Cricetulus griseus: one gene and its partner. The protein of the gene in region 1 interacts with the protein of each later gene in a pairwise test. Links are inferred from orthologs where the notes say so. Each region holds a gene or a part of one and is shown on either strand. Other genes may lie near its edges.

Region 1 (4,368 bases):
AGGGGGAAGAGGAAGAGGAGGAGGAGGAGGAAGAGGAGGAAGAGAAAGAGGAGGAGGAGGGGGAAGAGGAGACCTGGGTTGTGGAGTTGGGTCTGAAACAAGCCTGGATTTTCTCTCCCCTCTTTCTTCCCTCCCTCCTGAAAGGGGTGGACTGATTCTAGAGCCTTGTGCATGCTAGGTGCCAGGTGGGCATGCCATCAGCCTGTTTTGGGGTGGTGGTGGATTGGATCTTATACCGTAGCCTACCCTGCTTTTGAACCTGTGGCAGCGCTCCTGCTTCAGCTTCCTCAGTGCTGGGGTTACCAACCTGCACCACTCATCACTATGTTGGTTAATTTTTTATTTTTTTTTCCAAGACAGGGTTTCTCTGCATGTAGCTTTGGCTTTCCTGGACCTCTCTTTGTAGACCAGGCTGGCCTTGAACTCACAGAGATCCACCTGCATCTGTCATCTGAATGTTGGGATTAAAGACATTTGCCACTAATGCCCAGCCAATTATTTATTTGTTTGTTTACTTATGAGACATGGTCTCACTCTGTATCTGTGGGTGACCTGGAACACACTACGTAGCCCCAGGCTGGCTTTGAACTTGTGATCTTCCTGCCTCTGCCTCCAGAGTGCTGGAATTACAGGTGTGAGTCAGCATGCGTTGCCTAATTTTCTTTCCTTTTGGAGATGAGGTCAGAGTAGGGCGGGCTCATAGCCCCTCCCTACCCTGCTCTTTGGATGTTTCCAGGGCCTTCTTGTCCTTGTGCTTTATAGTTTTTGTCATACCTGTGGGTGAGTGTGGACTGTGGCGTGGGCTCAGTCTCTCTACAGCCCAGTCTGGTAGGAATAGCCAGGGCTAGGTCATAGCCAGGAGCCATTGTACTAGGTGGGGCCAGGCCTGTCCTAAACAGTGTCTCTGTGGCCACAGCAGGATTAGATCAGGGCAGAGTATCTGGGGTTCAGATTTGTTATCTCTTTTCTGGGTCATCAAACCACATTGGGAGTTCTGCCAGCCTGGAGAATCCCTGTGCTGAAGGGGATTCCCAACTTGTCCCCACCGTGAATGACTGTAGCCACTGTGTCACCTCATATGTCCTTAGGTTAGGGTGGATCTCCCGGAAGGAAACCTCAGGTTTTCTTTTCCCTCCTAGCTTCAGTCACAGGTCGGTCACTGCAATGCAGAGGCTGTTCTAGTCACCAACCAATATCACAGCCCACAGGCAATGAGGGTGGTCTTGGTGAGACTGGACCTTTGACCTACACCTCCAAAGCTCTTAGAGTCAGTGCCTGGAGAGGGAACCGTTTCTGTCCTTGTGTTCAGAGTGGCCCGACTTCTTTCGTCATTTCTGTGTAACACCAGGCATGTCTTGTAAACATTTTGAGTTTCAATTTCTATCACGTCCTGTTTGGATTGGGGACCGTGGGAGTTGGTTACAGATGACATATTGACATCCCCATGAGTTATCTGCACAGACAGCTCCCAGTGTACGAAGGTCAACTTGTGATCTTTCTGTATTACAGTGTGGAAGTGATGCACATTCAGTAGAAATTTTACTGTTTTCCCAGCTAATGATAAACAGTATGTTTTTGCCGTGTGGGGCAGCAGCAGTGAGCCAGAGTGCCCAACCAGCCACATGGTCATGGGGTTGCCAGCATTGCTTTGACGCAGGTAATTAAAAGTATATTTCATGGGATATACAGAGCCATAGTGTAAAAGTATGTCGGCAGAGTGCACAGGCGCAAGCCTTTCATTTAGCCAGCCGTTGGGCATCAAGGCAAGAAGATCATTATGCGTTTGAGGCCAGCCTGATCTACATAGAGAGTTTTAGGCTAGCCAGGGCTACACAGTGAAACCCTAATGTCAGTACTCTAGTTTAAAAAACAGCATATCCCATTGAAGGACTGGAGAGGTGGCTCAGCAGTTAAGAGCACTGGCCGCTCTTGCCGAGGGTCTGGGTTCAGTTCCTGACACCCACATGGCAGCTCACAACCACCTGTTATTCTGGTTCTGTGGCTCCACCATCCTTTTCTGACCTTTGCAGGGACCGGACACACATGTTATACACATACCATACATCCAGGCATAACACTGCTAGACATAACATAAAATCTGAGAAAAATGTTTTATGTCAGTAACTACCAGGGAAATAGAAATTAAAACTGCTTTGAGAGTGCGTCTCACCCCACTCAGAAAGGCTGTCATCCAAAAGTCAGAGGACTGTAGGTGCTGGTGAGGGTGTGGACATGGGAACGGCTCTTCACTGTTGGTAGAAGCGGAGCTTGTCGCAGCCACTGTGGAAGTCAGTATGAAGGTTACTGAAATGCTCTCAATCTCATGATCCTCCTGCCTCAGCGTCTGGAATCTCAGATACAGGCATGCATCACCTTTCCCTTCTGCATTAGGGTATTATTAACTGACTAGTAAGTTTACCAGAATGGTATCCCATTGTATGTGGAAGAACATCTCTGTTGTGAAATAGTAGTGTTATTTGTCCTGGCCTGAAACAAAGGGAGCCTTTGGCAGCGTCAACTCATTAACGGTAATGCTGCCTGCCTGCCTGCGTTCCTACCTGCACCCATCCAGCAACAGGACAGACACTAATGTCTGGGTGATAATCGTGTTCTCCAGTTGGGGGAACAGGCAAGCTCAAGTGAGACAGCCTAGGCCCAGCCTGTCACAGCAACATTGTGTACTGTGTGCTTTGGTGGCTGGGGGAGTGAGGTTGTGTGGGAGATGGACCAGACACCGAGAGGTCTCAGGGTCCGAGGGCTGGGCTGGCAAATGTTCTACGGCACAGCTGCAACCCCAGCCCCCAGCAGTCGGATTTGGTTGCCTTCTCAGTCAAGCCACACTCCTCTCTACCCAAACGGTGCCCCGCAGCCGTGGCTTCTCTGTGAATCACTTGCGGATCTTCACTCTTCTGTTTCTGGAAGAGCGTAGGGTTCTGAGCCTTAGGAAGATCCAGACACAATCCCAGTTCCTGAATCTTCTCAAATGTCCCCTACGGCCAGCACCTGTGGGCCTTGGTGTAGAGTGCAGTGTTCTTTGGGCCTGGTTGTCTCAAGTAGGACATCTGGTGGCTTTTGGGTGGGGCAGAGAGAGCTAGAAGCCTCCAGGCTGGGCCTGAGAGCCAAGTCAGGGATTATTTTTATATCTCTGGCCATAGCACATGGTCTGGGCAGCGGTGCCATCTGTTTCCCACCCCACCACTCCCCTGGAGGGTCACTTGGGGGAGGAGCAGGAGGAACATCTCTGAGCTGAGGCTGACTTACCCCATTTTTCTGGCCACAGGGCAGGCTTGTGTGGGCAGTTTGCCTAGTAAGGAAGGGTAGGAGTGGCCAGCCAGTCACGACCAGGGACCAGGAGCACCACAGCCACACAGGGCCAGGGACAGCTCACTGCAGTAATGAATCCCATGTCCTAGGGCCTTGTGTGACCTGCTGCCCCACTTTCTCTGGGACAGTCCCAATCTTGGGAACATGGAGTGCAGGTCCTCAGAAAACCTCTCCCATGGGGCAGTCTGGCACAGATGGTCTCTAGTTCGCCCAGGCCTGTTCTTCTGGGCTGTCTTGGTCCCAACTTTGCAGTGTAGGGAAGGGCAATGTTGAAGAGAGGCAGGGCCCAAAGACTACCTCCTCTGGCACGTGGTGGGGGTGGGGCCATCATGAAAGGTGATACGGGGCTAGCCCTCCTCTTCATGTTGCCCTAGGCCCAGCTCAGAGTGTATGAGCTGTGCTTATGTTAGGCCCACGGAGAAAATGAAGTCCAACACCAAAATTAATGGGGCATTATGCATTAGAAGGTTAATTAATCACTGTCAGATATTAATCTTCATCTTTAGGGCTGCCAGGCCTGTTGAAGAGTTCAGATTTTGCACCCCAAGTTTGGAGCTTAAGAGCTGAACAGCCTGTATCTGTTAGACAACAGCCCTCCCTCCCCCAACCCCTGGCAACCTTCATGGCACCTTATCTGTAAGAATGTGCATCACCTTCTATGTGTGTACCCGTACTCACTGTCTTTTTTTCTGTGACTGGCTTGTTTTACTTAATATAATATCAGCGCCCATCCATGTCACAGCCTGTGATAGGGTTACCTTCCTTTTTAGTGCTAATAGCAGTCCATCGTATACCCACACCTCATTCTGTACTCATGGAGGGATGAAAGCAGGAACTCTCCTTTTTTTGGCTGTTGTGAATAGCGCTGCTATGAACATTCGTGTACAGATGTCTTTTGGAGTTCCTGCTTTCAGTTCTTTTGGGTGTGTGCCAAGAAGCAGGATTAGTGGATCACACTATTATTATTATTATTATTATTATTATTATTATTATTATTGGTTTTTCGAGACAGGGTTTCACTGTGTAGCTTTCGAGGCTGTCCTG
Region 2 (4,488 bases), on another chromosome or scaffold:
CAGACCACCAGGGAGAACTCTGAATGGAACAGTGTGAATGAGGGATGTGCTCTACCTCCAGGAGTTCTTTCCTTTGCTGACCACTGTGACACGAGGGTGCTCAGAGAAAATGGCCCAGACCATAATCTGTGTCATCTTCCAAGAGATGGTAAGTTCGCTATGCTTGTGAGGCAATAAGAAAATTACAGCTGAACCCAGCCCTGAATTCACGGCTCCCAATCCCCGACTTCTTGGTTTCAGTTGCTCTCTGTCCTCGCTTGGTACACGACTGTGGCCATGTCACCTTGGTCTCATTGCTGCAGTCCTAAGTAACAGAGACAGGATGCTTGTCTTAAATTAAGGATCTATATACATCAAGATTTCAGCTGGCGACTGAACGAAATTGTTCACTGAGCTCACTTTTTGTTGGGATATTCTGTGTCTGTCTCCTTGACTGCATTAGCGAAGGAACGGCAAGACTCATCTGACATAGACTCAGCCCAGAAACAGAGTGCTAGGCAGGTAAATAATTTTATTATATGATTATATAATAATTACCAAAAGTAACACTTACTCCTTGTTTATGAGACTCCAGCGTTGTCAATAAAGCACGCTTGGCGGAGGGTTACCCGGGGACAGGGAGACTTTTCACCAGCATTTGCTTTGCATAGTTCTGAGTGAGTCTCTTGCACTTCACTGTAGTTTCAGCCAGCGCTCTGCGAGTTTAAACATGAGATTCTATGCAGACTTAACGAGAATTAGGGTAGATTCATAACAGGTTAAAATGGATAACTGATTACACTGAGGCATTAATGGGTGTTAACTAAGCCTATGGTATGTGGCAAAAATCTGACTACACTGTATTTTGCTGAATTCCTGGCACATTCAAACAAGGTTTGACCCACCGACACCGCAAATAGAATGATAGATAGATAGATATAGATGGATGGATGGATAGACAGACACAGATACAGACAGATGTGGTGCAGAAGCCGGGCATGCGCCCTTCACGCGCAGCAACCCGCTGGTGTGAGGCGCACACTGCGGATCCGAAGCCTCGAAGCCTCGGTGTCACCACCACCGGGGCCTCATTACCGAGGGCGGGGATTAGTGTCAGGCCGGGAGCTGTGCCCTGATTGCAGAGGAGGATGGAGGTCGAGCCCCTGCTCGCCCGGTAACACTCTGCAGAGCTCATGCTTCCAACCGCGGGCTCCGCACTGTGTAACACCTGTGACCCGCCCGCCGCACCTCGGAGCGAGCGCAGAACGGCTGCGGATGGGCCCACCCGGCTCCCGTAGCTACGTCCTCGCGAGGCCAGCACGAGGCCGCGGTTAAGTTCCCGCTCCTCACCGTGGCGTCTGCTCCTGGAGCGGAGGGCGAGCTGCGCGGAGCCCGGGCGAGCAAGAGTTTTTCAGTGTGAGCTGCGCCCGCCACGGAGGCCACGGAGGCCGGGGAGGCCACGGAGGCCGGGGAGAACCTTCTAGAGCATGGGGGAGACGAGCCCCACCCCGCCCCGCCCCGCTGGCCCCGCCCCGCTGCTCCCCCGCGGGTGGACGAGCATGGGGCGAGCATGGGTGCTGCGAGCACACCCATCAAGCTGGGCCCCCTCCCGCCTCCCCCCTGTGCTTCCCAGGATCTGGATAAAGATGAGTCTGGAGTCGCTGTTCCAGCAGATCCTCTTCACAGAGCACCAGGCCGAGGAGAGCCGCAGGGCGCTGCGGGGAGGTCAGGGCCACCCGGGGAGGGGAGAGGGAGGAGAGGGAGGGGAGAGGGGAGGGGAGGGAGAGAGAGGGGAGAGGGAGGGAGGGGAGAGGGGGAGGGAGAGGGGAGGGGTAGAGAGAGGGAAGGAGAGAAAGGGAGAGGAGGGAAAGGGGAGGGAGAGGAGGGGAGGTCAGGGCAGCCCGGGGAGGGGAAGAGGGGAGAGGAGGGGGAGGGAAAGGGGAGGGAGGAGAGAGAGAGGGGAGGAGGGAGGGAGGGAGGGAGGGGAGAGGAGGAGGACAGGGAGGGGTGAGAGGGGAGGGAGACAAAGGGGAGGGAAAGGAGGGGAGGTCAGGGCGGGGGGGGGGAGGAGGAAAAGGGAGGGGAGAAGAGGGAGAGGGAAGAGAGAGAAGGGAGAGGAGGGAAAGGGGAGGGGAGAGGAGGGGAGAGGAGCCCGAGACTCGAGACTCAGGTGAGTGCAAGTAAAGGTTTGCCTGTGTCCAGTGAGGTCAGAAATTACCAGATGTCGTGGGAAAATCAAGAAAGCGACTGAGGATCTGAAGGAAGAGAAACTGAAGTTGGAATCCAAGGTAGGGATGCCTAGACCGAGCTAGCTGTTGCGTGGGGAGGGATCTGACTGGCTTTTCGGAAAACTCCACTGTCCGGCTACCAGGAAGCTCCAGGATTATATATTGTGTTGTCCAGAGTTTAAAGTTCTGAAACCAATAATGTCTTCAGATATTAATAGGAAGTGGCCCCAAGGAAGCCAGCCTTAAATAAGGAACCCCATTGTGTGGGGTGGTTAATGTAAAGGAACACAATGTCATGGGAAGAATAATTGTCCAATAAGCACTTAGTGCAGCATATAAATTTTAAATGCTAAATAATTTAAGTGTGCTCTGCGGGTGTAATAACAGATCGTGTGTATCTTCGGTGGGCCTCGGCTTTCTCACTTTCTAGTCATTACCACATTTTTGGACAGGTCTCATCCAAAAGTGTCCTCCTGCTCTCATCTCTCTCTTTTGCACTGGTAAAGTTCTGGGTTTTAATAAATAGAACCAAGGGAGTCTCATAGCTTCAAGAAAGATTTTGAACTGTCGGTAGAATTTTGGAGAAGCAAAGAGATGTCGTAGGAGAAACCGTTTGTAGCCAAGGGAGGGAGCAGATCTGCCCCAGGCACATTGAGACCCCAGCAGAGGACTGGTGTGTACAGTAGGAGGAGAATGTGGCCAAGATGTGACCGGGGAGGGGCAATAAAAGTGCTTTTAGGAGGCCCTTTGCACTCTGATCCCAAAGATGGGAGACAGGTGTGAAGATGCTGAGGCCACATGGGAGGCCTCACTCTGAGCAGGAGCACACAGGGGTCCAAGAACCTGTTTCAACACCTAAGATGAACTAAGCAAGCAGTGTGCATAGGTAGTCTGTTTACATAATTACTCTGTTTTTGTCTATAACATGGTCTGTTTTTTGTATATTAAATATAAACTTATACGTAAATAAATTATAAATTATTACTCTATTTAGCTTACATTTGTGAAGAAGTTTCAGTTTTCCCTGGATCAACACATACTGGTATTTGCAGCCCCTGTTGCTTTGAGAGGATCATACTTAGACCTTTTTCTTATCCACCTTTATTCTCCTTGTGTTGGTTGCTTAGCAAACATTGCATGTGAGTGTGTTCACTACTAAGAGTGTGATCTATAACAAAGAAGGAGCTGTCTTAATTTGACAAGTAAAACTTGTACATGTTTATGGGTTCCATGTGTTTTTATATGCATTTTATAATGCTCAAATCCAGGTTAATGTATCTGTGGCAACAGTTATTCTGACTTTGTGGTGAAAATATTACATATCTTTTAATTTTTTAGTATAGGTTACTTGCGTCAGTCACCCTGCTGTGCAGTAGAATACCAGCATTTATGCCTCCTGACTATGAGTACGCGCCAGCCAGTCTTTCCTTTCCCCCCTTACACGCCAGACGGTCTTTCCTTCCCCCCTTACACACCAGCCAGTCTTTCCTTTCCCCCCCTTCCAACTAAAAGAGACGGGCTGTCTTTGAAAACATAACTTGGGGCTGTTATTCATTCATTGAGCCCCTGCGCTCTTATTTTCCTATAGTAAGAGAGAAAGTAGCCCCTAGTGACAGTGCCGAAAGCTGCCAAGGCTGGGCAAGCTGTGAGCAGTGTCATGATGTAGCTGTCTTCCCTTGAAGAAGAGTTATGATGATTTGAAAGTTGGCAAATGGAAGCCAACAGAAGAAAGGTCCAGAGAGAGAGAGAGAGAGATAGACACAGACGGACAAACAGACAGACAGACAGACAGACAGACAGACACAGACATTGCCACCTCCACACTTGGCAGCTAACAGTGCTCATGTGCCTGGCACTATTCAAAGGTGACATTACTCCTTTAGTTCTAACAGGAACTCTGTGTGGAGGAGCCAGCATTCCCATTTTGCAGGTGAAGAAGTTGAGAGTTTAAATGGCTTGTCCGTGGTATATACTATAAAACCAAATAACTACCATAATAAAAGTAACAATTACGGAGAACATAACTCTATTAAAACAGAATCTCAAGCTCATCTTGAACATTCTTTCATGACATACAGTAATGTGTCTGAAGCTTTGTGTCTGGGGCAGTATTCTTTAAAGGTCACTTAGTAAGCTTTTGTATAAAGTACATTTCTCTGGGATTGGTGACATACTGACCTGACAGCAGGTAGTAAGTGTTTTTTTGTTTTTGGTTTTTGGTTTTTCAAGACAGGGTTTCTCTGTGACTTTGGAGGCTGTCCTGGAACTAGCTCTTGTAGAC

What was found.
Region 2: the proteins of Tead4 (region 1) and Ccdc172 interact in binary tests that used the Homo sapiens proteins (3 or more experiments, as listed by UniProt). The two-hybrid records come from large-scale screens. The link is inferred for Cricetulus griseus from reciprocal best matches to the Homo sapiens genes TEAD4 and CCDC172.

The regions. Positions count from the first base shown.
Region 1 is NC_048601.1:18,130,170-18,134,537, forward strand, and holds the start of Tead4 (transcriptional enhancer factor TEF-3), read left to right. Parts: upstream 1-1,554; 5' UTR 1,555-1,557; coding exon 1,558-1,657; intron 1,658-4,368. UniProt on the Homo sapiens protein: Transcription factor which plays a key role in the Hippo signaling pathway, a pathway involved in organ size control and tumor suppression by restricting proliferation and promoting apoptosis.
Region 2 is NC_048596.1:2,889,243-2,893,730, reverse strand, and holds the start of Ccdc172 (coiled-coil domain-containing protein 172), read left to right. Parts: upstream 1-1,625; coding exon 1,626-1,704; intron 1,705-2,181; coding exon 2,182-2,267; intron 2,268-4,488.